Coturnix japonica: one gene and its partner. The protein of the gene in region 2 purifies or fractionates together with the protein of the main gene of each other region. This does not show direct contact. Links are inferred from orthologs where the notes say so. Each region holds a gene or a part of one and is shown on either strand. Other genes may lie near its edges. The genes, in order: PAN3 and PAN2.

What was found.
Region 1: the proteins of PAN2 (region 2) and PAN3 purify together in Homo sapiens (co-immunoprecipitation; 5 studies listed by BioGRID and IntAct, with this or other methods). This does not show direct contact. The link is inferred for Coturnix japonica from reciprocal best matches to the Homo sapiens genes PAN2 and PAN3.

What each region holds. Positions count from the first base shown.
Region 1 is NC_029516.1:157,363,955-157,367,767, forward strand, and holds part of PAN3 (PAN2-PAN3 deadenylation complex subunit PAN3), read right to left. Parts: intron 563-3,813; coding exon 423-562; intron 1-422. UniProt on the Homo sapiens protein: Regulatory subunit of the poly(A)-nuclease (PAN) deadenylation complex, one of two cytoplasmic mRNA deadenylases involved in general and miRNA-mediated mRNA turnover.
Region 2 is NC_029544.1:1,759,889-1,763,701, reverse strand, and holds part of PAN2 (PAN2-PAN3 deadenylation complex catalytic subunit PAN2), read right to left. Parts: coding exon 3,770-3,813; intron 3,502-3,769; coding exon 3,405-3,501; intron 3,051-3,404; coding exon 2,931-3,050; intron 2,817-2,930; coding exon 2,697-2,816; intron 2,626-2,696; coding exon 2,497-2,625; intron 2,342-2,496; coding exon 2,142-2,341; intron 1,869-2,141; coding exon 1,726-1,868; intron 1,405-1,725; coding exon 1,298-1,404; intron 823-1,297; coding exon 724-822; intron 231-723; coding exon 154-230; intron 1-153. UniProt on the Homo sapiens protein: Catalytic subunit of the poly(A)-nuclease (PAN) deadenylation complex, one of two cytoplasmic mRNA deadenylases involved in general and miRNA-mediated mRNA turnover.

The DNA of each region.
Region 1 (3,813 bases), on a different chromosome or scaffold from region 2:
CAAGGACACTGCTATGATAAATAATAAGCAATAAATCCCAGTATGGAAGATTACTTAAAAGGCTTGGGTGTTGTTTATTTTTATGTTGTTTTTGTTTTGTGTTTGTTTTGTTGTGTTGCTTTTTGGGACGTAAACTTGCTTTGTATATTTGCTAAAACATTAATAAACTTTTATTAGGAGCTTTAACAGGGCATTGATTTCTATTAGTTACATTGTAAAAATACGCATATGAATTAACTTTGGATGTTTGCACAGACAGCACGTTATTAAGCATTATCAGTTAATGAGAGTAAACCATATCCTTATTTGCATCTGAAAGTGTTATGTCAACTGTACATTTAAAAGAGTTATCATTGTTTTCAATAACATTTTACAGGAAAATAAACAAAAACAACAGCAAACAAGTGTGTTAGCAAACTTACAAGATCAGATTCTTCAGATCAGAGGAATAGTTGATTGTCACCAGTTCCATCGCTTTCTGCAAATTCTCTCTCTGAATTCCTGATAAAGAATTGCAAGCCAAAGCCAACACAACTTTCCCCAGGGAGATCAGATCTGTTTGCTAACAGGGAAAACATGCACAGATAAGATTCGTAGTACAGATAAATATTACATACAGTACTAGAGGGCATTTAAGACAGTTCTTCAGTAACCTTTGAAGAATTTGAACAACTAAATGTTACAGCTGTGCTATACAGCTGTCCGCGTAGTTAAAACATCCACAGGAGAATTTCAGTACCTAACAATTTCAGGGTAATATATTTATCTTTGAGAGCTTCAAATTTACCCATCTTTATCTTAAGGATAATACTAGAGTGAAAACTTTGTAGAGCTTCTGCTCTCTACAGAAGAGGTTCTCCTAACCACGCATGCACTCAGTCCTGAGGAATCAAGTAGCTGATAGTAAATTGCACATCTTCTTGATACAAGACACAAAAATATCTATCAAGGATTATTTGTTAAACCAGAAACAAGACCTACTGGAATCCAGCAGGTCAATATTTCTGTTTTAATAAAACAACTTAAAGATTTTAATCTCTTATGGCCTGTGTGAAAAGATAAAAACTGCCTGAAGAAGCTAAACAGGAACAGACCTGTGCAGCTAACAAATGGAACAGAACCCCATTTGTGAAGAAATCCTTAGTATTACTAACCATTTTCCTTAAGAGTAGAACTCTTCTTAAAAGATGAACACACTATACAGATTCAGTTGCAACAGAAACTTCTGCCAGTTTTACTCACTTAAGCAACAGCTACCACAAGTTATTGTGAAAAGCAACATCAGGCTTTTGAAGCTCACCCTAAAAGCAGGACCCCAATTTAGTAGGGAACAGTAATATTCATTGCAGAAGCTGCTCAATTCTTCCCATACAAAGTATTTCAAGTGCTTATAACTTGGCCAAACTTGAAACTGCACTGGGTGAGTTCTTCAGACTGAATTTAATAATCAGCTACAGAGACTTGCTGACTTTTTTTCTTAGAAAAGATACTTCTGTGAAAAGTAAGGAAGTGAACGCTATTATTCACTGTGAATGTCAGTTCCATATTCTGGAGGAAGGATACGATGTTTGGCAGAACATATAATCATACAAGGAACAGAGCTTCTGTCATTTCTTTTAGAAAGGCCAAAAATTTGGTAGTCAGATAACATTAAAAGTTCTGTTCAGAATTCTGGAGCTAAAACTTTGGGAAACTGCTGAGATGGTGGATGTGTCACAGCCCCTCAAAGCTGTTCCACCCAGAGGGGTAGCAGTCTTTGCTCTTCCTTTGGCTGCAGCAGCTGAAGGGAGCTTTCCCTTTTGGCCACATCTTCCAGGTGTTGAGGCACAAAGTAAAGAACATGTTTCCAGGTCTATGAACATCCCTGCTGTTTCTGTATCAACTGCTAAAGTATGATTAAGCAGCACAATTTAAATGGATAAGCAATGTGACAGAAGTTAAAAAGCATGGTACAGGGCACTCACTAATGAAGACAGAAACCAGATGTGGCAAACAGAACAGAAACAAGGACAACAAATGGAGGAGATGGGACTGGCATTTGCTAGACTTTCTTTCCTAAGTAACCAAGAATTCCTGTGCATTGGCATTGCTTTGTACTTTGGCAAAGAGAAATGAACGAGACCAACAAATCCCATCTTGGTGGGATCCTGTTTACTTTCGCTACCAAGTACAGTCAAGTTGAGCAGCAGAAGACACTGCTATAGTAGTAAACAAACAAATTGCTGAAGAGTTATCTGCACCAATACATCTTCACTCAGCATAATGTGGTTTTTTTTTTCTGTTTTTTTTTTTTCTTTGTTTGTTTTTTAGGTTTATTTCCAAAAGATTTAGGGAAAGTAAATGTTTGTAATAATCTTAAAATGATTTTGTTTTTTATCAAGTCTCCTACTTAAAAACTTCCAACATTTAATAATCGACGAGGCAGTATCATGTATAAATTCTTCATTATCACCCAACCTTGACTGATATACCCAAAACATAAAACTTAAACCTATGTAAATACCATCCTTCTTTGCACAGACACCTTCATAATGCAGATTGCATTTGATTTTAAAGTGCTTGAGAAAAAAGTCTACATTAACTTCAGGCAGGAAATTCTGAATTCAGGCACTTTTTTTAAAAACCATTTGACTTGCAATATAAATTAGCATTTGTTTCACAAAGTACATCTAATACAAAACTTGGCAAAGATGATGCAACACACCAATGCACCCTCAAAGATGCATAATTCAAGCTACAGCCAGTGCTTGACTTATGTTTTGATTGCAAAACTGGCTTGGATTCATCCAGCTAATTTTAGGAACTGAAATGTTTTTTTCCTCTTGTGTCTGGCTAGATAGTGGAACAAACACGAGAACTTACGGAAATCAGATTCCCATTTCATAAGGGATCAAACTACCACCTTCTGACCAACTCTATCTCACCAAACAAGGTAAAAACTTCCTAGGAATTGGAGTACACCGCCTTTCTAAAAGGAGAGTAACTTACACATTCCTGCTAAACCTTAACCTTCCTCACTGAAAAATTCATTCATTCATTCGGCCTCTTCAGCTTCAAGGCAGAGGAAGTTTAAAGGAGGCACACAATAAATGACAGATCTTCTTGGAGCAAGGACACCAGAAGTAAACATTATTCTTGCAGTAGCTTTGCCAGTTCAAGGGACAGGTCATCAAGTACAATCATTCATCTGCTTACACACAGTATTATGCTTTTCACATATTTAAGGATCACACCAGCTTACCAAACATTTACTATGGTAATAATCAACACTGACTATTAAGTCATACTAAGGTGATTCACAACTTCAAAAGAAAACTTTTATACGTTTTAAGTACAAGGTCTCTTTCCTCCAGAAATCTATCTTTTGTGCAGCTAATAACCATTTAAATAGCAATTCAATTAATAAAAATTAGCCTGTAACAACCTCTATCTCCTGAAAGAATTTGCTAGTAAAGATTTTATCACAACCATCTTGGTTGGAAATATGAAGTAGCATACAGCTAAAAACCAGCCTCTAGGAGACACCTTCAGAAAGAGCCTTCATCACTAATGTTTCCCTGTTATCAAATGAATTTTAAATATGAGGAATTTGAAAATTAATTGAATAGGTACCCCTCTGCAATTTTGATGTTAAAGAAGATGATGTGCTACTAAGCAGAAAGCCCTCAAGATATCCAAGCATTTTATACAGCTGGCTTTATTAGCTAAACACGTCAGCAAGTCAAATAAATCAGACTTTTGACAAGATCCATTTTTCTAAGTTCTTTGAAACTGACATTACTCTTTATTTATCCTACTTCACTGCTATGCTTG
Region 2 (3,813 bases):
CAGCCGTGAGGCCGTTCCAGTTTAGGGTCCACAAGGAAGCATGCACAGGCAGATTATGGGATGGTTATTAAATAAGAAATGGCCCTGACTGTGGGGCAACCCAGAAGGCATCGCTGCTCAACTAGAGCTGCCACCCCAGGAACAGTCACCTACCAATCTCCAAGAGACATTTCTTTGCCTTTGGTGATCTCAAAGCCTCCTCTCTTCATCAGGGCTCTCTGAAAGGCATACTGACAACGAAACACAGGGAAGTGTCAGCATGGAGTGACAGCCAGGGCTCAGGAACACGTGGGTGACAGCCAGGCCAGCAGCAAGGAAAAGACAGAGACTGTAAAGTCAGTGACAGGGAAAAAGACAGCAAGGGAAACCCAGCCGTCCACCAGCTGTGCTGTGCTTGTACTTGGGGAAGCAGGCACTGCCTCGTTGCTCCTAGGTCCTAAGGGGTTGGGGGGAATGAAAACATGACTCTACTGAAGTCCTGTCAGCTTTGTCATGGCAGGAGATCTTGTCTTTTCCAACTCCAAATGCACAGCTCATGCTGCATGCATGACCAAACCCCGACAAGTCCTCTGCAGACAAAGTGTGGTGATGCTTGGGTGGAGAGCAAGAGACTGTTAGAAACAGCAAGATCACAGCGAAAACACTTCTGAAGAATGGGACACGCAGCAAACCCTGTGTGCCAGGGAGGACAAGCCTGTTTCTGCCCCAAAGTGTCTCCCCCACCTCAGCCTGTGTCTTCCAGAAATCTGCTTCCTTGGAGCTGTTCACCTCACAGTTAATGACCAGGACATCTGGAAGGCAGCGGATATTCCTAGTCTGGACCTGTGGAAAGAGGGAGAGATGGAAGGAAGGCAGAACCAAGAGCCCCAGGAATGGCTCAGAACTGGATGCAGCACATGTTATCCTTTTCCCTCTTCCAAAGTCTTTGCCTGCAGTGCTGCCCCCACACCGCCTGCTAGACACAGGGTGTACTATAAGGGAAACTGAGGCAGGAAGCAGACTCATCACACCCCCAAAGCCTTAAAGGCTGCATCAGAACAGGTGTGTTTGCCTCCTGGGGGCTTCCCCCTACCCCAGGGGCTTCAGATGGGATCCATATAACCCACATTCCAGCACTGAGCAGCCCCATCAGGTCATGGAATACACTGCATCACACCAGCTCACAGACCAGCTGAGGAACAGAATCTCCTGCATCCACTCAGAGGGTTCCCTGCTGACTGATGGAGAAACTGCCCCTGCTCAGCCTGAAGCACTCACGTCCCTCTCCCACACCCCCCAGCCCCCCCCTCTGGCTCACCGTGGGCTGATACTTCTCACAGTTCTCACACCAGGCCTGTGTGTTCTGCTCCAAGCAGATGCTTCTCTTTAAAATTTGGGCAAACTCGTAGTCTTTGACTGGTTTTTCTGAAGGGAGAAAGGACAATAACATCACCTTCCAACATACACATCTTTACCAATTTAGCTCAGCCAGACCTCTGGGGTTTTCCTTACAACCACCAGGGAGAAGGTCAACCCCCAAATCTGCTCTCCTGCATCCCAAAGCTCAGCTACTGGACCTGCAACCTGGGATAGATGGCTGCAGGAGTTCCTCAGGTGTCACCTCACAAATAAACCTACATCTATACTCATCCATACAGACAATGAACCCCCCCCACTTAGCTGTCCTGCCCCAAGGGGAAAGCAGTGGGGTGAAACCTACAAGCCCTGCCCATCCCTGTCTGTTACCAGTGCTCTCAGGGTAGGAGAGGGTGAAGAGCAGCGTGGAAGACACGCGGACGGTTTCCTTCCCACAGCGGCACATGCTGCAGTTCTCCACCTCACAGCTGAACAGCTGCCCAATAACAGAATCTCCCGAGGACCCAAAGGTGCTGGAAAGAAAACAAAAGGAATACGTGGGATAGCAGGACCCCAAAAATCCCTGCTGAGCAGGGATGGGGGGTACAGAGGGCCGAGCACACATCTCTGCACACAGGTCTAGACCCAGAAGCAACAGAGGTTCAAACCCCACTACAGGGACAGCTGCAGACATGCATGTTCCCATGCAGACCCCCCCTTTCCTGAGGGACAGATGAGGCATCTGGGAGCCAGACCCCCTCCCTCACTCATTTACTCTCTGTCCTTCCCACAGATCAGGGATTTACCTGCTGCCAGCCCCCCGATACGCCTGCGGTCCCTCCTGCTCCTGGGTCTCCTGGTGCAGCTGAGTAAGGATGAAACGGTTCCAGCTCTGAATCAGTCGCCCCAGGTTCACTTTCCCTGTGGCTTCGTCTGAGTCAGCCAGGATCAGCCCCAGTGCTGAAGCCTCTGGGATTGTGCGGAAAGCCCGCAAGAAGTTGCTTCCCTGGGGATGGAGCAAGAGTGTTATGTCACAACCATCAAATGACAGGAGTTTCCATCTGTCTGATGCCACCTCTTCAGGACACTGCACCACCCTGCTCCTCTGTGATCTCTAACCCACATTACTCTTGCCTCACGTTGTCTGGGCTTGCCACTGACCTGGCAGGGGTCTCCTCGGGATAGATCAAGCATGTGGAAGAGCAAGCCCAGCTCGCAGCCCAGGCAGAACTCCTTCTGGCACAGGTGGTTCTGGACCAGGCAGCGGACAGGCTCCAAAAAATACAGCACCTAGCAGAGACAGAGACATCAGGAGCGGTCCTGTGGCTGTGATGGCCTGGGCAGGGCTGGGCATCACCCACCTGGATCATGCAGTTGCAGTAGGCATTGGGGATATGGGGCTCCAGGCCTGCAAACAGAGTCTTGTTATAATGCTTGAAATCAAAATCTTCCAGCCCCAGTTTGGAGTATTTGATTGTGACCTGAGGAGAGATGCAGTGTGTCAAACAAACGCTCTCCCACACCACAGGGCATCCACAAAGTATCCAGGTCTCCCCATGGGTGCTTGAGCCCATGTGGGTCCTTCAGAAGGTTACCTTCCTGTACTTCTTGGCCACCATGTAGAGGTGAGGTTCCTCCTCCCGCCCAATCGGGGACTCAGGAACTTGGCTGAAGCTGTCAAACTCATTGTCTGCTTCTTTTAACCGATAGGGGATCTGGGAGGGAGAAGAGAAAGGAAGAGCGGCTGAATCCTGAGGTGAAGGACCACGAACCGAAACAAGCGGCTCCTGGGCTTTCCTGCCTCCCCAAATGAGCAAAGGAATAAACCAGAAAGGAGAGGGGCCCTCCCTTAACCTGCATGAGTCCTCCACACCTTCCCTCTTACGAGGGACTTATCACTGTGGGGAAACTACAGCGGTGCTGCGGGCAAGGGCGACCCACAGCAGTGTTTTCCCAAGGGCAGGGACGTGCCATGTCCACAAACCTGCAGGCCAAACAGCTCAAACCTTCCCTGCCAAAGAACAAGTGATCAACGGGACCAGGTACAGCGTCCTCCTGAGAGCTCATACCTGGTTGCGGAGTTTGGTCCTTGGGTTTGGAGCGTAACCAATGAACCCCACTTTCTTCATGGTGCGCAGAATCTCGGGATCTACTGGAGGAGCTCGCCTATAAAACACACTGTGACTCAGAGGCTGCTCTGTTTGGCAGCACTGCTTCATAGAGTGCCTTGCTGGATGTGCTCAAGGACCCAACAGTGGGTCACAAGGGCTCCTCTCATTCAATCATTCCCCCCCCAACCCCCAACAAGAAGCTCAATATTCATTTTCCAGCTACAATAGAATACCAGACAAACACAACACCCAGCTGCCCCCAACCCTGAACAGGAGAGGGTTCTCTTTACACCAGCTTACACTGGGAGAGACTTGCAGATTACCGAGGTGCCGGGGCTGAGTTGGCTGCAGGCCAGTCTGACAACAA